7 linked regions of the Canis lupus familiaris genome follow. The protein of the gene in region 1 purifies or fractionates together with the protein of each later gene. This does not show direct contact. Links are inferred from orthologs where the notes say so. Each region holds a gene or a part of one and is shown in the gene's direction. Other genes may lie near its edges. The genes, in order: RBBP4, SAP130, ARID4A, EED, HMGXB4, HAT1 and SMARCA1.

The links.
Region 2: the proteins of RBBP4 (region 1) and SAP130 purify together in Homo sapiens (co-immunoprecipitation; 3 studies listed by BioGRID and IntAct, with this or other methods). This does not show direct contact. The link is inferred for Canis lupus familiaris from reciprocal best matches to the Homo sapiens genes RBBP4 and SAP130.
Region 3: the proteins of RBBP4 (region 1) and ARID4A purify together in Homo sapiens (co-immunoprecipitation; 4 studies listed by BioGRID and IntAct, with this or other methods). This does not show direct contact. The link is inferred for Canis lupus familiaris from reciprocal best matches to the Homo sapiens genes RBBP4 and ARID4A.
Region 4: the proteins of RBBP4 (region 1) and EED purify together in Homo sapiens (affinity purification with mass spectrometry; 10 studies listed by BioGRID and IntAct, with this or other methods). This does not show direct contact. The link is inferred for Canis lupus familiaris from reciprocal best matches to the Homo sapiens genes RBBP4 and EED.
Region 5: the proteins of RBBP4 (region 1) and HMGXB4 purify together in Homo sapiens (affinity purification with mass spectrometry; 4 studies listed by BioGRID and IntAct, with this or other methods). This does not show direct contact. The link is inferred for Canis lupus familiaris from reciprocal best matches to the Homo sapiens genes RBBP4 and HMGXB4.
Region 6: the proteins of RBBP4 (region 1) and HAT1 purify together in Homo sapiens (affinity purification with mass spectrometry; 5 studies listed by BioGRID and IntAct, with this or other methods). This does not show direct contact. The link is inferred for Canis lupus familiaris from reciprocal best matches to the Homo sapiens genes RBBP4 and HAT1.
Region 7: the proteins of RBBP4 (region 1) and SMARCA1 purify together in Homo sapiens (affinity purification with mass spectrometry; 5 studies listed by BioGRID and IntAct, with this or other methods). This does not show direct contact. The link is inferred for Canis lupus familiaris from reciprocal best matches to the Homo sapiens genes RBBP4 and SMARCA1.

The regions. Positions count from the first base shown.
Region 1 is NC_049223.1:68,048,063-68,051,562, reverse strand, and holds part of RBBP4 (histone-binding protein RBBP4), read left to right. Parts: intron 1-2,563; coding exon 2,564-2,709; intron 2,710-3,500. UniProt on the Homo sapiens protein: Core histone-binding subunit that may target chromatin assembly factors, chromatin remodeling factors and histone deacetylases to their histone substrates in a manner that is regulated by nucleosomal DNA.
Region 2 is NC_049240.1:23,957,439-23,960,938, forward strand, and holds part of SAP130 (histone deacetylase complex subunit SAP130), read left to right. Parts: intron 1-292; coding exon 293-528; intron 529-1,251; coding exon 1,252-1,410; intron 1,411-2,568; coding exon 2,569-2,680; intron 2,681-3,500. UniProt on the Homo sapiens protein: Acts as a transcriptional repressor. May function in the assembly and/or enzymatic activity of the mSin3A corepressor complex or in mediating interactions between the complex and other regulatory complexes.
Region 3 is NC_049229.1:34,013,709-34,017,208, forward strand, and holds part of ARID4A (AT-rich interactive domain-containing protein 4A), read left to right. Parts: intron 1-569; coding exon 570-1,703; intron 1,704-1,950; exon of another isoform or gene 1,951-2,378; intron 2,379-2,391; coding exon 2,392-2,496; intron 2,497-3,500.
Region 4 is NC_049242.1:13,357,256-13,360,400, reverse strand, and holds the end of EED (polycomb protein EED), read left to right. Parts: intron 1-915; coding exon 916-1,074; intron 1,075-1,736; coding exon 1,737-1,810; intron 1,811-2,309; coding exon 2,310-2,436; 3' UTR 2,437-2,645; downstream 2,646-3,145. UniProt on the Homo sapiens protein: Polycomb group (PcG) protein. Component of the PRC2/EED-EZH2 complex, which methylates 'Lys-9' and 'Lys-27' of histone H3, leading to transcriptional repression of the affected target gene.
Region 5 is NC_049231.1:29,846,124-29,849,623, reverse strand, and holds part of HMGXB4 (HMG domain-containing protein 4), read left to right. Parts: intron 1-144; coding exon 145-1,097; intron 1,098-3,500. UniProt on the Homo sapiens protein: Negatively regulates Wnt/beta-catenin signaling during development.
Region 6 is NC_049257.1:16,673,778-16,677,277, forward strand, and holds part of HAT1 (histone acetyltransferase type B catalytic subunit), read left to right. Parts: intron 1-1,324; coding exon 1,325-1,476; intron 1,477-3,500. UniProt on the Homo sapiens protein: Histone acetyltransferase that plays a role in different biological processes including cell cycle progression, glucose metabolism, histone production or DNA damage repair. Coordinates histone production and acetylation via H4 promoter binding.
Region 7 is NC_049260.1:101,600,178-101,603,677, reverse strand, and holds part of SMARCA1 (probable global transcription activator SNF2L1), read left to right. Parts: intron 1-263; coding exon 264-412; intron 413-1,203; coding exon 1,204-1,323; intron 1,324-3,500.

The DNA.
Region 1 (3,500 bases):
GTGGCAGGGATGCCTGGGAAGCTCAGTGGTTGAGCGTCTGCCTTTGGCTCAGGGCGAGATCCAGGATTGAGTCCTGCATTGGGCTCCCTAAGGGGAGCCTGCTTCTCCCTCTGTGTCTCTGCCTCTGTGTCTCTTATGAATAAATAAAATCTTTTAAAAAAAGAAACTGATGGCAGCGTATTTGATGAAAAATAGTTGAATGATGATTCCATGGTCATGAGCTATATCATACTGGATCAGTGGATCCCAAATATATTGGCCACCTACTAAGTCATTTGGGAGCCAGTATTTTTAAAAATCTTCCTATATAATTCTGTAATGATCTCAACCTAGAAAGCAGTGAATTAACTAAATTCGCCAACGTTGAAATCTATCTTAGTAGTTTTCTCATTTAGTGGAACTAGGTAAATAAACCTTTTTGCAGGGTTTGACCTTGGTCCAAATTCCTGTTCTTTATCTTCTGTTTTTTGTACCTTATACATAATGAAGATTTATTTTTTTATTTTGAGGGGGAGATTCCTGTTGAGTGTGAAGCCCCATGCAAGGCTGAATCCCATGACCCATGAGGTAATGATCTGAGCAGAAATCACCAGTTGGATGCTTAACCAACTGAGCCACCCAGGCACCCCAACGATACTAATTTTTTTATAAAGACTTTTATTTATTTGTTTGTGAGAGAGAGAGCTCATTTCATTTGCACGAACAGGGGGAAGGGGCAGAGGGAGAGGGAGAAGCGGACGCCCCGCTTAGCAGGGAGAGGATCCATCCCAGGACCCTGAGATCATGACCTGAGCCAAAGGCAGACCCTTAACCAACTGAGCCACCCAGACATTTCTTTAATTTGTTTTTTCTAAGATGAAGATTATTTAGAAACAAGCATACCTAATGTCAAGTGTTTAAATTTTTGTCTGTGGTAGTGACGGTAGTGGTATTCATATCTTTTTTTAAAAAAATACAATTACAATTCTATAACCTTCTTTGCTCATTTCCTCTGGTTCTTTGTTTAACCTTCTAAATGCAGGCATTCTCAGTTTTACATTGATGGCTCTCTTTCCTCTATTTTTCTATGTAGGATATAGATGTATATTGCCTCTGTACAGAGGAATTCCTATTGGTTATCTCTAGACCCAACCTCTGAGCTTTTCCTGAATTTACAGCTGCCTACTGGTATCTTCTTTGGAGTATCTGTTTTCCCCAACATCACATGTTCCAAACTGAGTATATTCTTTGCATAGAGGTCCCGCCCTAGCTTTCGCCTATCATTCCTATTTCTCTTTATCATACTTGACTTTGGTTTGATGTTTCCTAAGTTTTTCTCTTTTTTCCACTTGACAGTGCATAGATAACTCCAGTGAATTCTATTTGGGTAATATCATTTCTAGAACAGAGGTTTTTTTTGTTTTTTGTTTTGTTTTGTTTTGTTTTGTTTTAATTCATGAGAGACAGACTGAGAGAGAGAGGCAGAGACACAGGCAGAGGGAGAAGCAGGCTCCATGCAGGGAACCTGATGTGGGACTCAATCCCGGGACTCCAGGATCACACCCTAGACCGAAGGCAGGCACTAAACCTCTGAGCCACCCAGGGATCCCCTAGAACAGAGGTTCTTAAACTTGAACATGAATCATAATCAGCTGGAGGGATTATAAGGTGGATCATTGTACCCCGAATCCCAAGTTCCTAATTTATTATGTCTGGGATGAATCTGAAAATTTAATTTGCCTTTCTAGCTGAAGTTCCTAGATGATGCTAATGCTGTCGGTCCTGATACCACACTTGAAGAACCTCTGCTTTACACTGTTGGGTTAATTCTTCTGTGGTAATTCAGATGGTGCTAGATCCCTTAGAAATTTTCCATGATTGTTTGTTTTCCCTACAGTAGAGTTGTGAATGCCTTAAGATGGCATTCAGTATACTAGAATCTATTTTTTAGCCTTCTCTCTGACTTCATTTCCCACATCCAAAGTCAGATTGAGGTGTCAGTCTTAGTAGTTATGTGATCTTATTTAGGCAGGTTGCCTCATTTTCATAAACCTCAAATATATTCATCTTTAAGTGATACGTAGTTTGTAAAGTACTTAGGTATCTGACATTTTGTGAGCCTACCCTTTCTCAATTCCCTTTCCTTGGAATTCTCTTCCAGAGCCCTTGTCTCTTCTGGGTTTTATATCTCATTTTGACATCTGCCTCTTTCACGGATGCTTCCTTAATTCCAGAAGTAATCTTTCTTATCTAAATTCCCATCTTGTGTACCTTTAATGTATTTATTGGCTTATATTTTTGTTATTTATGGACATGACTATCTAATTGCCCCGGTTTTTTGAGTGCATGAATCACGTCTTAATCATTTTTGTACTTCATAGTATTTGGTGCAGTTTGTCCACTGATTAGGCACTCAGTAAATATTTGAACATTTAGTTTACCTGACATTATTTTCTTTCCTCTAATAAGATTTTCTTCTCGAAACCTGGTTGTAATAGTGCTTTTTCCATACATGTGTATCACTGACCTCATTGTCTCTCTTAGTGTTAATAATTTGAATAGTGATCATATACTGCTATTACAGACCAGAAGGGAAAGACTTCAGCATTCATCGACTTGTCCTGGGAACACACACGTCGGATGAACAAAACCATCTTGTGATAGCCAGTGTGCAGCTCCCTAACGATGATGCTCAGTTTGATGCTTCACACTACGACAGTGAGAAAGGAGGTAGGAATCTTAAAAGTGAAAGAAGGAATGATGTATGGGTAGTATCTTTCATATCTTTGAATTTACTTGAAAAGGGCGTAAAGTTTGATAAATTAGTTTGTTAAGTTAGTAGTAATATTTTGAGCTCTGGAAAACCCGAGTTTGTAATACAGGTGCAAACTGAGATGTCAGAAGACATAGTTAAAGCATACTTGGTTCTATGTCTTTTCTAGAAACCTTCCTCTCCTAAATTGGGGGGGAGGGTAGTTTCTAGAATTGAAAGAAGACAAAATCCACCATTTGTTCCTTTCTTTTCTTTTCTTTTCTTTTTTTTTTTTTAAGTTTTATTTATGTAATCTCTACACCCAATGTATGGCTTGAACTCAACCCTGAGATCAAGAGTCATGTGCTCTTCTGACTGAGCCAGCCAGGTGCCCCTTTATTTTTGTTTATTTTTAAGATTTTATTTCTGAGTAATCTCTGTACCCAACATAGGGCTTGAACTTGCAACCCCAAGATGAAGAGTCATGTTCTCTACCAACTGAGCCAGCCAGGTGCCCCCAAAGTCCACCATTTATTATTGCTGTGCATGCATGCATTCTTTCTCAGCATGGGAGATAATTGCCCCTATGGGGGGTTAAAATTGGTTCTTGGAGAGGGGGATGTATGAGAACAAGTCTTTAAATGTGGGAATCCGGGGATCCCTGGGTGGCGCAGCAGTTTGGCGCCTGCCTTTGGCCCAGGGCGCGATTCTGGAGACCCGGGATCGAATCCCACATCAGGGCTCCCGGTGCATGGAGCCTGCTTCTCCC
Region 2 (3,500 bases), on another chromosome or scaffold:
TGTTTGAGTTCATTTTAGATAGTTATCAGGCCCTTTGTTCATAGGAGTGGAAAAGCTACAATATCCAAAAAAAGGCCTGTGTTCCATGGGTGTGGCTCTTGGGTTTGATATCTGTTGGGGAACCTAATGCCCAAATTCTCCTTAAGAAAATCTCACAAAGAAATAGCCACTTTATCAACCCTGAAATTTACCTGTATGCCAATGCCACTCTTGTACGTGCTGTGTAATTCATTAATATTAATTAATATTGGAAGCATATGACATGCTATTTCTCCCTTTCTGTCCTTACTAGTCAATGATGAATCTAGTCGAGAGGCTGAAGTCACTGCCAGGGAGCACATGGGTTCCAGCAGCTCCCTACAGTCCCGAGAAGAGAAGCAAGAGCCTGTTGTGGTAAGGCCCTATCCACAGGTGCAGATGTTGTCTACACACCATGCTGTTGCATCGGGCACACCTGTCACAGTGACAGCCCCACCAGCACATCTGACGCCAGCAGTGCCACTCTCCTTTTCGGAGGGACTTATGAAGGTAATGGAGAGGTTTTAAATTTCACATTAAACCACAGCTAAAAAGACTGGCTAATAATCTTCCTGACAATTTTCACAAAGTCTTAGGCCATATCCAGGATCTTAGTGTTTTCTTTTTGACCCACCAGTATAGCTCTTCTCTGTCACTTAGAGCTCTGCTATTCTGCAGTGCCTAGTCTTGTGCCGCTGGGCAGTTGGCATCACAGGATCTTTTCTAGTGTCCATTATTTTGACATTGATTTTATTCAAGTTATGGGCATGCTAACTCAGATTTTATCTTGGAGTGGCACTCTTCTCCAAAATTTTGTTTTAAAACTTGGTAATACGGGAGTATCCGAAAATATTGCCTTGTATTTTACTTCGTAGCTATGTTTCAGTTACTGGGAGTTTTATTTACTTCCACCCAAACTTAGGATGCAGAATTGTATAGAAGAAAGAATGTGGGCTGTGAGCCATACGATCTGGGTCTTGGTCCCAGTTCCAATTTTTACGGTCTGTGTGGCTTTGAGCAGGTGACATAGCCTTGCTTTGTATGTTTCCTCATCTGTAAAATGGAAATGCCGGTACTTCAATGGAAAAGCTGTGATGCTAAGAGATAAAATATATAAGGCTTCTAGATCTCTCCTGGTGTTCTCCAGGTTTGATTTGTGTACTTTTAACTATAGAATGAATGCATCACTCATAAAAAGCTATTGATATGTTTCGTGTGGTTTTCTGTTTGCAGCCGCCCCCGAAGCCCACCATGCCTAGCCGTCCCATTGCTCCTGCTCCACCTTCTACCTTGTCACTTCCCCCCAAGGTTCCAGGGCAGGTTACCGTTACCATGGAGAGTAGCATCCCTCAAGCTTCAGCCATTCCTGTGGCAACAATCAGTGGACAACAGGTTTTTTTCCTCTTAATTTGCTGATTTTCAAACAGAGATGCCAAACTGTTGATCATTATTTATTGAATGCCAGCAGTACATTGGGCACTGTACTAAGTAAAAAATTAAATGGTCACTGATCTCTGCAAGGGGGAGATAGTAGGTTTGAGAGAGAAGGCTGTTTACAGGGAGTAAAACTAACATGCACTGCACAGTGGTGTTTGTCATTTGGCTAGTATGTATGAAGCATCTGCTGTGTGTGAGGCACTGCCTTTGGTGTGAGATAAAAATCTAGATAAGATAGTCTGTGTCCTTGAGTGCTCAGAGTCCAGTTTTGTGGGATTAAGAATAGCCTCATGGCAGTAGTGCTTCTCTAGAATTTTCTCTGAGGAGAATGAATATGTATCCTGGGCGCCTAGCAGGTTCCGTCAAGCATCTTGTCAGTCATGAACACTTATTTTGTAGTTTCATGATTTAACTTTAATTTTTTCCTGAAATTCTCCTACTCCACAATATGTATATGATTTTTTTTAATATTTTGAATTACTGAGTAAAAAAACCTGAATCTAAAACCTTTCCCTTCAAGTTTTCAAGAAAAAGTTGGTATTCCAAGAAGACATACTATGTTTTCTTCCTTTTGTCATACTGCTGAGTACTTCCAGAAGTACCGGAACCCCCACCTGGGAATGGTGTCAGTCCTGGGAACATGTGAGAGGGGACATCTAAGCAGGGAGCTGAAGAATTCATAGGGGAGTACCTGCTGGGTGCTAATTGCCATTTACTTAGAAGTCCTGCATAGCATAAAGGATGGATGAATGCAGTAGCATGTAAAGGAAATAGAATAGGGAAAAATAAGCTTTTGGCCAAGGCAGAGAAAACAAGTGTGAAAGACTAATATTGAAGATGAGAGTGTCCCAAAGTGGGCAGTCATATGTGTCCATCTGTTAGAGACCTAACACAAGCTAGCCAGCTAGCCTTGAGGCGTTGGAGGGCCCTCACAGTCACTACATGCCTGCTGGCATAGGTCATCATGCATATGTTGTATATCCTTTCCCTTGGGATTCTCACTGCCTAAAAGGAACAACCCACAGTTGGAGGCAGCTGACCTAGAAGCAATGGCTAAGCATCAATGGCTAAAACCAAGCACATGAAAATAATATTACGTTCTGTCTCTTGCAGGGGCATCCCAGTAACCTGCATCATATCATGACCACAAATGTACAGATGTCTATTATCCGCAGCAATGCTCCTGGTCCCCCTCTTCACATCGGAGCTTCCCATTTACCTCGAGGTAAAGACTGCACAAATTGTTAAAATGTGATGGTGAAATATACGTTTGGTAAGAGATTTTTGTTACCATTAACAAAAAATATTTCTAGAATCATCTTATTAAAGTGACAGGACAACAGAAATAAGACACATTTTGAGCATGGTCTAGTATGCGAATTATAGTTGTATTTCAACAAGTGCGTGTATGTTTGTGTGTGTATGTAAACTTAAAGGTATGTGTAAACTTAAAGCAGTTCAAATTTTAATATGGTCTAAGGATTGTCCTGTATAATGAGGAACTCCTCAAAGCTATGATAGTCCAAAATGGTCTTCATTATTAATTTCTTTCTTAGTCAGAAATACAAACATGGATTATTCTTAAAGTTTATTGATAACAGTTACTCAAGTAACATAGCCGTAAGATGAATTTATTCTTACAATTAAGTTCTAATAGGTAGTCAAATATTAAACTGAATGAGTTTTCTCAACTACTTGATCAGAAATTGTAGCCTTCTATTGGTGATTGTAAAATCATCTTTGGGAAAATCAGGCTCATAAGTACAAAACCAGGTTTACTTGGTCATAACATAATTCAGTTTTTCTCAGAGTGAAGTTCACAAGAGTGTCTGTGTTAGGTCAAAACTACTTTTGTGAAAATACTGAGACATCATTTGCCTGTTGTACCATGTTGACTTCGCACTGACGATACAAAGGCAGTGGACCCTCACCAGTGGTTACAGTGCTGGAGCCTTGGCCTAAATGGAGGCAGTGGCACCACACTGTGCTATTCAATGTGCTTTGCTTCTACATACTTGCAGTTAAAAAAAGCAGCATCCAGTTTC
Region 3 (3,500 bases), on another chromosome or scaffold:
GCCCATCACATTTATTAATCAGTACCTGTTAGATCAAAGCACTTAATATATTAACTTAATATCTCAGTATTAGTCCTTTGATTTTTCTTTTAGATTTATTTATTTTAGAGTGCATGTAGTGGGAGGAGCAGAAGAAGAGAGAGAATCCCAAGCAGACTCCCTGCTGAGTGTGGTTCTCAGTGTGTGTGGGGGCGCTTAATCTCATGACCCCAAGACCAAGGTCATGATCTGATCCAAAATCAAGGGTGGGACACTCAACTGACTAAGCCACTCATGTGGCTCAGTCCTTTGATTTTTCTAAGGATAACTATCACCTAAATATGATACTAGTGAAAAATGCAAAATAGCTCTTTTATAGAATTGAGACAGTAATATTTTCAATGTATTTTTACATGGAGTTTGACATACCCCCCACTCCCATTTTTGGCACAAATGTATGATTTATCAGAAATTTCTACAGGGAGGTATTCAGAGGTACATGATTAAGAGTTCTCTTCGGTAGAATTTTTATTCTAAAATTACATTGGTAATTCAAAACCTGTGTAATGTAATTTTTTTTTTTTTTGCAGACTCTTGCTCATCTGATAGTGAAACAGAAGACCTTTTAGAAAAGAATTTGATGAATGAAGAACTTTCTCCTGATATTAAAGAACTAGAAAAAAATGAGAATTTAAATGATGATAAACTAGATGAAGAAAATCCAAAGATTGCTGCACATATTTTAAAAGAAAATGAAAGGACGCAAATGCAGCCTTTAGAAACACTGAATTTAGAAGTTGGAGAGAATGAACAAATAGTACAGATTTTTGGAAATAAAGTGGAACATGTAGAAGAAGTTAAGAAAGAAGCTGAAAAGTCTCCCAAAGGAAAGGGAAGACGAAGCAAAACAAAAGATCTTTCTTTAGAACTTATAAAGATTTCATCGTTTAGCCAAGATGAAGCAGGAAGTGAACCTCATATAGAAGCTCAAAGTCTAGAATTTTCTTCGTTAGACAGTAAAAACTTTTCTTCTACTACCGAAGATGACACTGACCAATGTGCGAAAGAAAAAAAGCTGAAACGGAAAATACTGGGACAGTCATCACCAGAGAAAAAAATAAGAATTGAGAATGGAATGGAAATGACAAACAGCATCTCTCAAGAAAAGACCAGTGACTGTGTTGCATCTGAGGGAATGAAAAATTTAAATTTTGAACAACATTTTGAAATAGAAAATGAAGGAATGCCATCATTAATTGCAGAGTCAAGCCAACGCATTCAAGAATTAACTAGTGAAAAATTTGACAGTCCGGCTGAAGAAACTGTAAATACTCCACTGAAAGAAGAGGAGGATGCAATGCCTCTGATTGGGCCTGAGACTCTGGTTTGCCATGAGGTCGATTTGGATGATCTGGATGAGAAGGAGAAGAGCAGCATTGAAGATGTGGTGGTGGAAAGCTCTGAGTCTAACTCTCTTGTTTCTGTGCCGCCAGCCCTCCCTCCCGTAGTACAGCATAGTTTTTCAGTGGCTTCACCACTAACCCTCAGCCAGGATGAGTCTCGGAGTATAAAAAGTGAGAGTGACATAACCATTGAAGTTGAGAGCATTGCTGAAGAATCTCAAGAAGGTCTCTGTGAGAGGGAATCAGCAAACGGGTTTGAAGCTAGTGTTGCCTCCAGTACCTGTAGTCTGATTGTTCAAGAAAGAGAGAACAGAGAGAAGGGTAAGGACTTTCTTGGAAGAATATCAGCCTCGTATGTTCAACCCTCAAATTAGTAAGTTAAGAATTTTAGGAAATCCTGAGCTAAAAAGTTCCCTCCCTTCTCCCCTTCCTCATATTCATTCTTTCCTTTCTACCGCCCCCTCTCCCTTAAAAAAAAAAAGATGTATATATAGAAATACAAGTGGAGTAGACAGGTGCATAATTACAGCTGTTCTTGCCATGGCAGAGACTCAAGAGCAGAGTATGAACTGAGGTAGCTGGAGTTGTGGCAGAACAAGAGTTTAGGAAGTTTCTTCTCCTCTCTGACTCAGTTTTAGTTGAAAGGAGTTCAGCTGAAACTGTAACCAAAGGAGGCCTTATCCTTCCAGAAAAATCTCAAGGAGAAGTATTGCAAGCAGCAGTAGTAGTTAGCATGAAAGTTGGAGATAAAAGTTCTTCTCCCAGAATATGGAGGCACCCAAGTTGTTCCAGATAACAAGGATTATTTTTTATTTAGAGATGGTGACATTCTCAGAAAGTATGTAGACTGAATAAATCGTTATTGAAATGGCATCATGTGAAGGTGCCCATTCTACTGAAGTTGTGAAATCTTTCATCATGTAAATAATTTCCATATCTCCCTTTAATAAACTAACCATATCCAAAATAGATACATATTTTTTAAGTTGTCTCTTTTCCCTTGTTTTAGGTCAGAAAAGGCCAAGTGAGGGAAATAGTGGGTTAGTGGCAAAAAAGCAAAAGCGTACCCCAAAGCGAACGAGTGCTGTAGCCAAAAGTGAAAAGAACGGAACAGGTAGGTGCTTTCCAATGCTGGCTTTAGCATAATGCTAATATTTTCAGCATTTTGTTGGCTTCATCATTTGTGTCAGTTTAAAAATAAATTTGGTTTAGGGATGTCTGGCTGGCTTACTTGGTAGATACGTGACTCTTAATCTCAAGACTTGTGAGTTCAAGCCCCATGTTGGGGGGTAGAATTTATTTAATAATTGTTTTGTAATGTTTGATTTATTATGTTCTGGAAATAGCAATTTTTCCACTAATTTTTAATCTGAAGAGGCTTGCCAATTTTATTTAGAGCTGAGATAGCTGTTTTTAATGCTTATTTCATTTGTATTTCTTATGTAAAGTGATTTAATATTGAGGAATGTATTTGAGAATCTTGAATAATAGGAAAGTAATATTTGCTCTAGTGGTAAAAGCAGATTAAGTTTACATTTCTGAGTGGAATGGTTTAATCTAGAAAAGCTGATTTCTGAATAGTATGGTATTTTTAAAACAGGCAAATAATAAAATTCTTATGGAAACAAACAAGGAACTTAGTAAAATCAGTATGAATTAGATTACATGAGAAAGACTTCTGTACAATAAGGAATAAAATTAAATCGTAGAACATAATAGAAATAAACATCATTAATTTTGACAAAGTTTTATCTCCAAAACATGCCTTCATACAAGTCTGAATGGAAAATTCTAGGTTACAGTAGATACATATCCCATGGAGGGAGCATGTAATATATACAAGATAAAAGGCATTTCAAAGCAAAACCTTTGAACCATATATGAAGTTCTCAGTAGTCACATGTGGCCAGTGGCTGGACAATACAGATGTAGAGTATAGAGGAGGAATGATGGGAAATGAGGATAGAGAAGCAGTAGGAATTATCAACAGCAACTAAATAATATCCTAGTGTTTGGCAGATACGTTTGTCAAACGATCAAAGTGAACATCACCAGTAATGTGACAAATGGAAATCACGTACTATCACAGCAGCACATCTGTGACATTCCTGTCGAAGA
Region 4 (3,145 bases), on another chromosome or scaffold:
GGCCCTGCTTTTGAACCATTCATATGTTAGTGAAACGGGCAGAGCTGCAACATGTGGCTGTGTGGGCTGTGTCCTGTAAAACTCCGGAAAGCTCTCTACCAACAGGAATTTCTCAGTCCAGGTTCTGTTGAAATACTGGGCTACACAATCTTTATTTTTAATGGGAGGGGCCATCCTGTATATTGATTGTAGGATGTAGCAGCATCTCTGGCCTCTACCTGCTAAAGGCCAGGGACATTGCCAAATGTTCCTTAATTGGCACACCACTGACCTATAATATGAATAGTGCCCACTGTGTTGCAGTTTTTTTTCAGCAAAGATACTATGTTACAGAATAAGAAAAGTATAACTTAGTCTATTTCAGTCGTATCCCCATATCAATGTCTTGATTTAAACCACTGAGTTTATTACCTTCTATATAATATGATTTTTAAGGCCTCTAAGCAGGGGCCATACTGAAAAGCATATTTTTGTATAGAGTTTTTATAATTTTATCGTTTATAATTTTATAAATTATAATTTTATATTTTATAACATATAATTTTATATATATATTTTTTAATTTTATATTTTATATTTTATAACAAATGTTATAAAACACTCAAGTCTCTGGATGCCAGAGTATTGAGAGCTGAATTTGGTTTGGAAAAGAAATTCTGACTTCAAAATGGATATTCCAGATAATATAATGCTTTTTAATATTGTCAAATTCTGTTGTAAGATGACCTCTTATCCTCAAGTGTGGACCTTGACTCTGTAAATATAAATAAATGTATATCACTGTATCTACTAGATGGATAACCAGGTCTTAAGACTGTCAATTCTAAAAAGATAATAGAGAAAAGAAGGCTTTGTTTTAAGTTTTAAATTTCAGTTCTATATGTAACAATTTTTTCTCATTTCTGTCTTCTAAAGTCTTGTGAAAATGCCATTGTGTGCTGGAAACCTGGCAAAATGGAAGATGATATAGATAAAATTAAACCCAGTGAGTCTAATGTGACTATTCTTGGGCGATTCGATTACAGCCAGTGTGACATTTGGTACATGAGGTTTTCTATGGATTTCTGGCAAAAGGTAGCAACATATTTCTACATTTTAAAATTACTTCAGACCATTGTAATTTCACTTTTCTCTGTTGTGCATCCATGTTCAGTTTCCTCTAAGAATCTACCTTGATATCTTGTAGTGATTGATTACTTTAGCCGTTGATGTTATTTATTCTATCTTTATAGAGTAGGCTCTCCACACCATTTGCAGTGCGTATTATAAATGCAGTTGACAGGTGTCAATCTTGGCAATGGTGCTTACTTTCCATAACATCTGTTACTAAGATTTAATGTTATGGTGATTGAATGTTAACTTTTTAAATAGCTTTTTTGTAGAAAAGCTTAGAGAAATTTTAGAGATTGGTGTTATGAATTTGTAGTAACAAATTATCTGGGTATTTATTTCTATAAGAAAACTTTGGAGGAGCTGTCTGTAGCTTTTGCTACAATGTAAATTGTAAAGTCCTTCATAAATTTGCCTTCTAATTTGCTCAGGATGCCTCTGAAGTATAAGTTGCTGTTATCCATTTACGAATCAGAAGTATAAGATACAAAGAAATAGAAATAATCAGGAGTATAGCCATAGTCTGGAACTGAGGTTTTTATGAAATATGAATATATCTTAGGAATATTTGAATGCTCTATAGCCTATTTTAATAATTTGGTGTTTTTAAAAATACGTTTATACAGATGCTTGCATTGGGCAATCAGGTTGGCAAACTTTATGTTTGGGATTTAGAAGTGGAAGATCCTCATAAAGCTAAGTAAGTATTTAGAAATTTTTATTGATAATTTCTGTCTTTTTCTCAAACGCTATGCCAATATTTAATTTATTCATGAGAGACACAGAGAGGCAGAGACACATAGAGGGAGAAGGAGGCTCCGTGCTTGGAGCCTGATTGGGACTCAATCCCAGGACTCCGGGATCACAACCTGGGACGCTCAACCATTGAGCCACCCATGGATCCCTTGAAGTATCATTCTTAAATCATTTTTAACATTTATATGACTCAGTTATTTAAAAATATTTTTTATTCTCATAATGGCTGTTTATCATGAGTACTTTGGTGACAAGTTACACCTTTCTTTTTATTAATTTAAAATATACCCAAATGTTATGAAATTAGAGATTGAGCTCTTAGTGATATTTTAAATGCTTTCCATATGACTTGGAACATCTGTTTGTTTTCTTATTCGTTGGTTTAATTTGCTACTGACAATATTTATGAATGGCTTTTAACCTATTGTCTTGTTTTTTCCTAGATGTACAACACTGACTCATCATAAATGTGGTGCTGCTATTCGACAAACCAGTTTTAGCAGGGATAGCAGTATTCTTATAGCTGTTTGTGATGATGCCAGTATTTGGCGCTGGGACCGACTTCGATAAAATATTTTTTCCTTATCAAAATTAGAGTGTGTTTTCTGTGTATAATAGAATTAATGTATCTTGCTAGTAAGGGCACATAGAGCATTTAGAGTTGTCTTTCAGCATTCAATCAGGCTGAGCTGAATGTAGTGATGTTTACATTGTTTACATTCTTTGTACTGTCTTCTGCTCAGACTCTACTGCTTTTAATAAAAATTTATTTTTGTAAAGCTGTGTGTTTATTTTCATTGTGATAAAAAGAAATGTTGAAAGTAATAAAAGTATTCCCTTTCTTTTTTGTAATGATCATTTTTGTAGTCCTTTTAACTGAAGAAAGCTATATAATGTAGTGATTAAGTGTAAGCTCTAGGATTAAGCGGACTTTAGTCTTGGCTCTGCAAACATGAGCTGAGCTAAGTAATTTAACATCTACCTCAGTTTCTTCTTGTGTGAAACAGGGATAAGAATACCTACCTCATAGGGTTATTAAGGATCAAATGATTAAATAAGTGAAGCAGCTGGAATAGTACTCAGATGTACCCTAAATACATTGTTGCTTCTTTTTTATAAAGATTTCATTCATTCATTCATTTATTCGAGAGAGATCACAAGCAGGGGGAGTGGTAGAGGGAGAAGCAGACTCCTTGCTGAGCAAGGATCCTAAAGTGGGACTTGATCCCAGGATCCTGGGATCATGACCTGAGCCAAAGGCAGACGCTGAACTGACTGA
Region 5 (3,500 bases), on another chromosome or scaffold:
ATCATCAGGAATCAGTTGAAGGGACTCCCCTCAAATCATTTCTCTTAGCCTCTTCCTCACATTAGTTGAGTGTTTTTGGTGAGAGAGGAAACTTGTTGGAAGTTGGTTTGTCATGTGGACATTACTTCTCTTGATTATTTCCAGACATTTCGTCTTTGGAATCGTCACAGAAGAAAAAGAAAAAGTCCAGCCCGCAATCTGCCGATACAGCCATGGACCTGTTGAAAGCCATCACTTCCCCACTGGCAGCAGGCTCCAAACCCTCCAAAAAGACAGGGGAAAAGTCCTCTAGTTCTTCAAGTCATTCAGAGAGTAAAAAAGAACACCACAGGAAGAAAGTAAGTGGAAGCAGTGGGGACCTGTCCCTGGAGGACGGTGGTTCCCACAAATCAAAAAAAATGAAACCGCTGTATGTTAACACAGAGACACTGACCCTTCGTGAGCCTGATGGCTTAAAGATGAAACTAATTCTCTCACCAAAGGAGAAGGGAAGCAGCTCAGTTGATGAGGAGCCTTTTCAGTACCCCTCTCAACAAGCTACTGTGAAAAAATCCTCTAAGAAATCAGCTCGGGATGAGCAAGGTGCTTTACTCCTAGGACACGAGTTACAGAGCTTTCTGAAAACAGCCCGGAAGAAGCACAAGTCCTCCTCAGACCCACATTCCTCTCCTGGCCCCGAAGGCTGTGGGTCAGATGCCTCCCAGTTCCCAGAGCCCCACAGTGCTAACCTTGATCTTTCAGGACTTGAACCTATTCTGGTAGAATCGGACTCCTCCTCTGGTGGGGAGCTAGAGGCCGGGGAGTTAGTCATTGATGACTCTTACCGGGAAATCAAGAAGAAAAAGAAGTCCAAGAAGAGCAAAAAGAAGAAGGACAAGGAGAAGCATAAAGAGAAGCGGCACTCCAAGTCCAAGAGAAGTTCAGGCCTTGCAGCTGCCCCAGCAGGAGAGGTCACACCTGGCCCTCCTCCTCCCAGCGTCCCACACACTGGAGCTGCTGCCCCTCCCCCTCCCCTGCCCAGCCTCCACACGGATGGGCACGGTGAGAAAAAAAAGAAAAAAGAGGAGAAAGACAGAGAGAGAGAGAGAGGAGAAAAGGTAAACCATTTTTTTAAGTGTTGGGGAGTGAGTGATGATAGTAGTAAGTGGACTTGGAATTAGGCAGCTGAGGTGAACCGCAGGGAGTGTGGTGAGGCCAATCTCATGGGATGACATGAGGTGTAAGATATTGCCAGGGACCAAGTCTCTCCAGTTCAAAAACAGGAGCAATCTTAATTTTTCATGGGTTTTTTGATAATGGTGGTCTCCCATCGTGCCAAGCATAGGTTTAGGGATACCGTTGAAATTGGAATTCACGGAAGAAGCCGAACCCAGTTCCTTTCACTGGGCAGCACTGTCTGCCTGGGGCAGTTGAGAGAGATGAAAAGGTATTTTCTAGTTCATTTTGGGAAACACATTTTCAAAATTAGGAAAATAATGACCCAGGTTAATGGAATGAATTAATGGCCTTCCGCTAACTGGTGTGGGCCACTTTCTGGTATTATTTTTAGTGTCAAATGTATGTTCTTTCAACAGGCAAGTGCTTGCTGTTTACCCAGCCCAGTGCTCTAGGTGGTGTAGAGAGGTGCCAAGCTGGGCAGGACATAGCTCCAGACCTTCAGGAGCACACTGATTGCTGAGGAGATAGGAAGGAGAAATCAGCGACCTTGGTTGAACTTTCCTGCAGCTCAAGAAATCTAGCAGTTGTACTTTCAGGGCTGAGACTATGTTACTAAAGGTTTTCTGTTAAAAAAAAAATAAGCTGTTTCCCCTGTTATCAAAGTAATGTATTAATTTTATAGAAATTTAGAAATTCAGACTTGTGGAAAGAAGAAGGTCAAAAAACTTAGTTTTTCCACCTAAGGACAACCATTTTCTTCCTTTGTTTAGAGTAATGCAAACTGAAATGTCAGATTAAAGAGGCGATATTAAGAAGGAAAAAGTCAAGTATATTAAGAATTTGGAAATGGCAGTTTCACTTCAGTCTGTAATTGAGGTGTAAATTATGTTTCCCACTACAAAGAGTTATCTTTTTTTTTCCTAAGATTTCTTTATTTTAGAGAGAGCACGTGCGCACGGCAGGAGTAGAGGGAGAAGAAGAGAGAAACTAAGCAGGCTCTGTGCTTAGCCCAGTGCAGAGCTCGATCTCAACACCCTGAGATCATGATGTGAGCTGAAACCAAGAGGCAGATGCCTAATTGACTCTACCACCCAGGTACTCCAAAGAGTGCCTTTTAAGTATGTATATCTCAGAAATTAAAAGCAAAACTATACCTTCCAAGCCAAGAATGAGTGTAAGCATAAAGAACTGGATAGTCAATTATTAGGTCAGGTTTATATTCATTTGTTTATTTGAAAATTGCTTCGTTAAATCATACATATTCTGTGTAAGATTGTTATTTCTCCTGAGAATTTCCATTCTAGTAATATATGATAGAGCCATAACTAATCTTACAGCACTGAATAGAGGAGGGCAGGGTGGTCAGAGAAAGCCTATAGAAGAGAAAGGATTTCAGTGGAAGGGAACACAAGAAAGCAGAAAGACATTTACGAAGTAGCCTAGCAAAACAAGTGAACTCTAATCCTGCGTTTCTAACTGCCTGATAAATATTTCCACCTAGATGCCTTGGGTTCTTCATACCCGTGTGTCACTAATTATGCTCATCATCCAGATTCCCAAACCTGCAGCTCCTCCTCCACCTGCTTCTGTGTTCCCTGTGTCCTTCCAGTCAACCCAAACTCAAAACTATATGCTTTTTTTTGTTTTAAGATTTTATCTGTTTATTCATGAGAGATACAAAGAGAGAGAGAGGCAGAGACACAGGCAGAGGGAGAAGCAGGCTCCATGCAGGGAGCCTGACATGGGACTCGATCCTGGGTCTCCAGAATCAGGTCCTGGGCTGAAGGCGGCGCTAAACTGCTGAGCCACCTGGGCTGCCCCGAAACTATATGCTTATAATCATTTTTCTCAACACTTCATCATGAAACTTTCCAAACAAAAAGCTTTGAAATTGTACAGTGAACACCATATGCCACCCAATGAGATTCTGTAATTACTGTTTTGCTCTTTGCTTCATCACACACCTGTCCATCTATCAATCCAACTTTTATAATGTATTATAAATATAATGTAAATTATACATCTATAATGTGAATTATAGATACCATACACACCCCTAAAGACTTCAGCCTGCATATCATTAATTTAGGTTTAATATCTGAATTCAGGGCTTTTTTTTTTTTCCACTAGAATTTACTTATGCACAAACGTACACATGTTTATATACCATTTGGTGAGTTTCGACAAATGCGCACAAACGTGACCAAACCTCTGTCAAGATACAGACATTACTATCATCTGAAACAGCTTTCTCATACCCCTTCCCAGTCAGTCCTTACCCCTGGAGCCAACCACTATTCTGATTTTTTTCCCAGTTTTATATTTCATTTTTACATCTGTCT
Region 6 (3,500 bases), on another chromosome or scaffold:
ATTCTTTCAAGCCTTCTACTGATCATAAAGCAAGAGCTCAGAGAAGTGAGGTGACTTGCTCATAGTCCTACATCTGTGAATGATAGAACTGAGACTCAAACTGATTTTCTCTGTGTAGTCTTCTTTCTCTCCATCATGTTTTGATGTTTTCCTTGTCCACTACATAGTCTAATGTAAGAGAGGAACATAAAGGAAGATCCATGCGATTCAGATCCATTAAAGAAAGGATCAAAATCATATTGTCATTTTATTCTTTGAAAAAAAAAATTGGGGCAGCCTGAGTGGCTCAGCGGTTTAGCGTTGCCTTCAGCTCAGGGCATTATCTTGGAGACCCCGGATCAAGTCCCGCGTCGGGCTCCCTGTGTGGGGCCTGCTTCTGCCTCTGCCTGTGTCTCTGCCTCTCTCTCTCTCTCTCTCTTTCTCTCATGAATAAATAATAAAATCTTAAATAAATAAAATTTTTAAAAAATTTGTAGGGCAGCCTCGGTGGCTCAGCAGTTGAGTGCCACCTTCGGCCCAGGGCATGATCCTGGATTCCCCGGATCGCGTCCCACATCAGGCTCCCTGCATGGAGCCTACTTCTCCCTCTGCTTGTGTCTCTGCCTCTCTCTCTCTCTCTGTCTCTCATGAATAAATAAGTAAAATCTTAAAAACAAGAACCTTTGCTTTCACAATTTTTTTAAATTATATGCTTCTAAATTCTTTTTTTAAAGATTTTTTTTTTTTATTCATGAGAGACACAGGGGTGGGGGAGAGACACAGGCAGAGGAAGAAGCAGGCTCCATGCAGGGAGCCTGACGTGGGACTCGATCCTGGGTCTCCAGGATCACGCCCTGGGCTGAAGGCGGCACTCAGCCGCTGAGCCACCCAGGGATCCCAAAGAGCTTTGTTTTAATTAGGTAAAAGAAGTATAGCAGACTATAAAGATTATTGGATTAAAGTAAGGGAGTTATAAATTGAGCTTTAGAAGGCTTAGCTATCGGAGAATAGTAATGGATTATCCAAACTTTAATCTTTCATTTATACAGTTGCTTTAATTGTAAATAAAACTGAGATGCACACGGTAGATCACACCTGTCAAAAAGTTTACATTTGAAAGTGGCTCTAATTTCACAAATGCTGTAGGTCTTTTCAAAAGGATTGCACCTACAATTTATTTTGGCAAAGATGCTGTTGTTTGATTGATAAGGAATAACTTCTCATTATAACTTTTGCCTTATATAATTCTTTTAAGAATATTTGTTTTCCTAGCCTAGGATTTTTTTGAGATTGCAAATGATGAATTATGTTGGATAAGGGAAATGTTATTCTGCCTTTTCTTCAGCGGAAGATCCATCCAAAAGCTATGTGAAATTAAGAGACTTTGTGCTTGTGAAGCTTTGTCAAGATTTGCCTTGTTTTTCCCGGGAAAAGTTGATGCAAGGATTCAGTGAAGCCATGGCAATAGAAGCACAACAGAAGTTCAAAATAAATAAGGTATTTTTATTCTATAAAGGAAAATGTTACAGTTTTGAAGTTTTCTTTCTCTCTCTCTTTTTTTAAGTACATAACTTAAACATTGCAAGTACATTAAGAATACATGTGTGGGAAGTGGCAGTGGTTGAGAGTACAGGCTCTGAAGGCAAGTTGCCTGCCTGGGTTAAGATCTGGTTACGCTCTGTGACTTAACGGCAGTTTAATTTCCTCATTAATAGAATGGGAAGATAGTTGATTTTATGGCTATATTAAGTGTAACAAGAAGAATAGAATGGAAGGTATCATCTTATTTTTGCTTTTTAAGAAAATGTTTGCTATGGCAAAATAGTTAATTCATGTGAAGTATATATATATTTCTATATATTTGAATTTTAAAGTAGTAAATATCCTAAAATAGGTACAGAAAAAATATTCTGGCAGTTCAGAGGAGGGAATTTAGTTTATTATATTTATGTATGTAAGGGAATCAGAGTTTTTCATGGTACGGAGCTGCATTTGATCTAAGTCTTGAAGAATGGATAGGATTTGGATTATGAAAGTATGTGAGGGGCTCCTCGGTAGCTCATTTGGTTGAGCATCTGACTGTTCATTTTGGCTCAGGTCATGATCTTAGGATCCTGGGATCAAGTCTCATGTCAGGGTTGGCACTCAGCTAGAGTCTGCTTGGGTGTCTCTCCCTTTGCCCCTCCCCCCAGTTGCACGTGGGTGTGCTTTCAAAAGAAAAGAAAAAAAAGAAAAGAATATGAGATGAATAATAAGGACTGGTTTATGATGCTGTTAACCTCTCCTCCCTTGCTTCTAAGGTACCACAGTTCCTGATTTTTTCATTTAGCACTGTGGTCATCTTTTTAGAGATGCTTTTCCTCTTCTGTATGTTCCCTAAAGATGATTCTTCCCCAAAGTTCTTTATCCAGTCTTTATTTTACTTATTCTACCTGGGTGATCTCATTTAATTCTTCAATGTAGATTTTCCTCCTGTATTCCCAACACTGTATATCAAGTGTCCTGGGGCACCTGTGTGGCTCAGTCAGTTGGGTGTCCGACTCTTGATTTCGGCTCAGGTCATGATCTCAGGGTTGTGTGATTGAGCCCCTCATCAGGCTCCCTGTGGGAAGTCTACTTAAGATTCTCTCTCTTTCCCTCTTCCTCTGCCCCTCCCTCCCATGCTCCAGAGCATGCTCTCTCTTCCCCTCTCTCTCTCAAAATAAATGAATCTTTTTTAAAAAAAAGGTTCCTGGCCACTAACCTTCACCAACTTAATTTTTTTTTTAAATATTTATTTTATTCATTAGAGACAGAGAGGCAGAGACATAGGCAGAGGGAGAAGCAGGCTCCTCACAGGGAGCCTGATGCAGGACTCGATCCCAGGACCTGGGGATCATGCCCTGAGCCAAAGGCAGACGCTGAACCTCCAGAGCCACCCAGGTGTCCCACAACAGTTTAATTTGAACTGAAACTTTGCATCTTCTCCTTTACACTTTAATGGCTTCCTGGTTTTAAGATAAATACATGGTTTAGAAATATTCGGTATGTTTAGACTGTATTAAACTTTTAGAGAATTTATTTAGCAGCTAGGCTTTTAAAAGAAAGAGTAGGAACACATTTTTCAAAATTATGCTTTTTTTCTTAAAGGAATTAAAATTTAGTATGGCACACCAAACCCGTCATAATTTGGACCCTGTCAACCTTGGTAGACTCAACTTTCTACCACTTTCCTTCTTGCTCTGGCATTACTAAACCTCTTGTTATTTCCCAACTGTGCTATATCTTTCTTCTTGTTATATCGCTTTATGTTAACTATGCTCTTTGCCTGTGATACCCCCTTCTCTTGTTCCTCCATCTTTGTCTTGCCAGATATAACTCCTCTTTTCAGGCTCAGTTGAGGTCCCTTCTGGAAAGTTCAGACATCATTTTCCCATCTACCTTATACCTGATCTCCCTCTACCCCCAATAAATATATCAGTGAAACAACATAAACAGAAAAACTATGGGCTTTTCTTTTGGCTTCAGTGATACCAAAATTT
Region 7 (3,500 bases), on another chromosome or scaffold:
AACTGTAAAGCTTTACTTACAGTTAAATGTACTAGTGTCTGATTAAAACTATTATGCTATGCTTTCTCTGGAATATAATTGAATACAAAACTTCTATTATTATTATCTATTATATTATATATCTATTATTATATATATATTATCTATTATATTATATATCTATTATTATTATCTATATTATTATATATCTATTATCTTCTAATATTATTATCTATTATAATTGAATACAAAACTTCTATTATTATTATCTTTATTATTATTAGGAAGACTCATTGACCAGCAATCTAACAAGCTGGCAAAAGAGGAAATGTTGCAGATGATACGTCATGGAGCCACCCATGTTTTCGCTTCTAAAGAAAGTGAGCTGACAGATGAAGATATTACAACTCTTCTGGAAAGAGGAGAAAAGAAGGTTAGTTAAAATGTCATTTGTTTTCATGATGAATTGCTTTAAAATCAACATACTTCAGCATGCTTAATTGGATTTGTGTTGTTTCACATGACTCATGTTCTCTCTAAGGATTTGTGGATTTATATCCAGAGGTAGTTTAGGGTTTTTTAGTTTAATTTTTGTTAAGAACGACTAAGAACTAGAGTTTAAAAATGAGTGATCTTACATCTCACGTTTATTGAAAATAATGTTGGTATTTACTTAAAAGCCAAATAAATTTCATGTTTAGTCACATATCAGGACTACATTTTTGCAACCTTTTTCTTGCACTGGATTGGAAATTATTTTCTCACACATTGTGTTAAGTGAAAACCTTTTGTGAACATTTCATGAAATATTAAAGCATTATTTGTTAAAGTCTAATAAACTATTTCAGAATATTGCAATTTTGTGTTGAATTTACCTTTTTTGGTGGGGTTCTGAAATAGTTCTATTCTAGTCCTACCTTCTTTTTTTACAAATTACTTTGGACAATTTCAAATACACATAAAAATAGGTATTATATGACTACATCTTCACTGATAAAAGACTTTAAAGAAAGCCTGAGAATACTTGAATACCTATTTAAATATTTAAAGTACTTGGAGCAAGTAGAATTTATATTCATTTAGTATTAGCATTGCATTCTTACCGTGTAAATTAACAGATTGGATATTTCATGTCAAACCTGACTTTTAAAAAGCTAGAGAGCCCACAGATTTTTTATAAGTAATTCAGCAATAATTTTCTAATTTCAATGCATTGAACTGTAGACTGCAGAGATGAATGAACGCTTGCAGAAAATGGGAGAGTCTTCTCTGAGAAATTTTAGAATGGATACTGAACAAAGTTTGTACAAGTTTGAAGGAGAAGATTATAGAGAAAAACAGAAGGTAACTTTTTATTCTCAGCCATTAGCCTCTCAAATTAGCATTTCTTCCCATAACCATTATTAAAAAACACTGACGGGGTGCCTGGCTGGCTCAGTCTGTAGAGTGGTGACTCTTGATCTTGGGGTTGTGAGTTCAAGTCCCATGTTGGGTGTAGGGATTACTTAAAAATATAAAGAAATAAAATTAAAACAATAATAAAATTTAAAAGACCCTACTGACACTCTCCTATTACAATGCTCTGCTATGGAGTGAAATTTGATGTAGGTCAAATCTCCTGCAAGTGCTATGTTTAATAAACTTAAACTTAAGCTGGATGATGATGATTGCCATCATGCTCATCATCATTTTTGCTGCTTTTGATACTGTTGTTTTCAAGAAGCAGTACAGTACTGTGGTGGAGTTCCTGAATTCTGAAGCTGAAATCCCAACTGTATCACTAATTCAGTAACTTTGGGCACTTATTTTTCTCCTGTCAGATGGAGGGTATAGTAATATATGGCATGGACAGCAAAAGTCCTTTGAGGAAATAGAGGAGTTTTATTTATTTTGTTTCAAGTTATGGCTATAACTAAAAATTTTTAGATTTAGAAATTATTTGTACAAAAAATATAGAGTTCTCATATATCTTTCAGCTAGCTTCCCTTAATATTAACAATTTACATAATCATAGTACAATGATCAAATCCAGGAAATTAACACATTTTCTCCTTAATGTTCTTTCTCTTTTCTGGGGGATACAAACCAGGATCTCACATTGCAATTTGAAAAATCTCTATTTTTAAGATCACTTTTAGATTCACCACAAAATCAAGTGAAAAATACAGAGTTCCCATATTCTACCTCTCCCAAACATCGCCTACTACACTATCAATCTCACATCACAGTGGTACATTTGTTACATTTGAACCTACACTGACACATCATTATCATCCAAAGTCCATCTTTTATGTTAAGGTTCACTTTTTGTATTGTACATTCTGTGGATTCAGATAAATGTGTAATGACACGTATCCACCATTATAGTATCATACAGAGGAAATTCACTGCCCCCTAAAAGCCCTCTGTGTTCTGCCTATTCATTTCTCCCTCCTTCTGTAGCCTCTGGCAACAACTAATCTTTGTACTACCTCCATAGTTTTGCTTTTTCCAGAATATCGTATAGTTGGAGTCCTATAGTACATAGCTTTTTCATATGGGCTTCTTTCATTTAGTCCTTTGCCTTTAAGATGCCTTTGTGTTTTTTCATGGCTTCATAGTTCATTTCTTTTTTAGTACTGAGTAATACTCCATTGTCTGGATGTATCACTATTTATTTATTCATTCATCTACCAGAAGACATCTTGGTTGTCTGTAAGTTTTGGCAGTTCTGAATAAAGCTGTCAAAATCTTTGTGCAGGTTTTTGAGTGTACATAAATTTTCAGCTCTTTTGGGTAGATGCCAAGGAGCATGACTGCTAGAGCATATGGTAAGCTTATGTTTAGTTTTGTAAGAAGCTGCTAACCCTTCTTCCAAAGTGGCCATACCATTTTGCATTCCCATGACCAATGAATGAGAATTCCTGTTGCTCCATATCCTCACTAGCATTTGGTGTTCAGTGTTCTGGATTTGGCCTAATAGGTGTGTAGTAGTATCTCATTCTAATTTGCATTTCACTGACATAAGATGTTGAGCACCTTTTCATTTATTTCTATCTGTATATCTTCTTTGGTGAGACATCTATTCAGGTTTTTTGCCCATTTGTAAAATCAGGTTGTTTTCTTAGTGTTGAATTATAAGTTTTTTGTATATTTTGGATAACAGTCCTTTATAAGATGTGTCTTGCAAGTATTCTTTATGTGCATTTTTCTTATTCTCTTGACCCACATTGCATTTTTTTGCTGTGTCTTTTTAGGTTCCTTAATTTGAATTAGTCCTCAACCTTCTTTTGTCTTTCATGATCTTTACACTTTTGAAGAGTATTTGTTAGTTGTTTTGTAGTTTTGGGGTTTGTTTGACATTATCTCATGATTGGATTGAGATTATGTATTCTTTGGCAAGAATGCCATGGCAGGGATATTAAGTCTTCAGTATATTTTACCAGGGAATATATGATGTTGTGTCCTATTACAGGAAATATTAACCTTGATCACTTAGTTGAGGTGGTGTCTGCTTTGTTTCTTCACTGTAGAGTTACCAT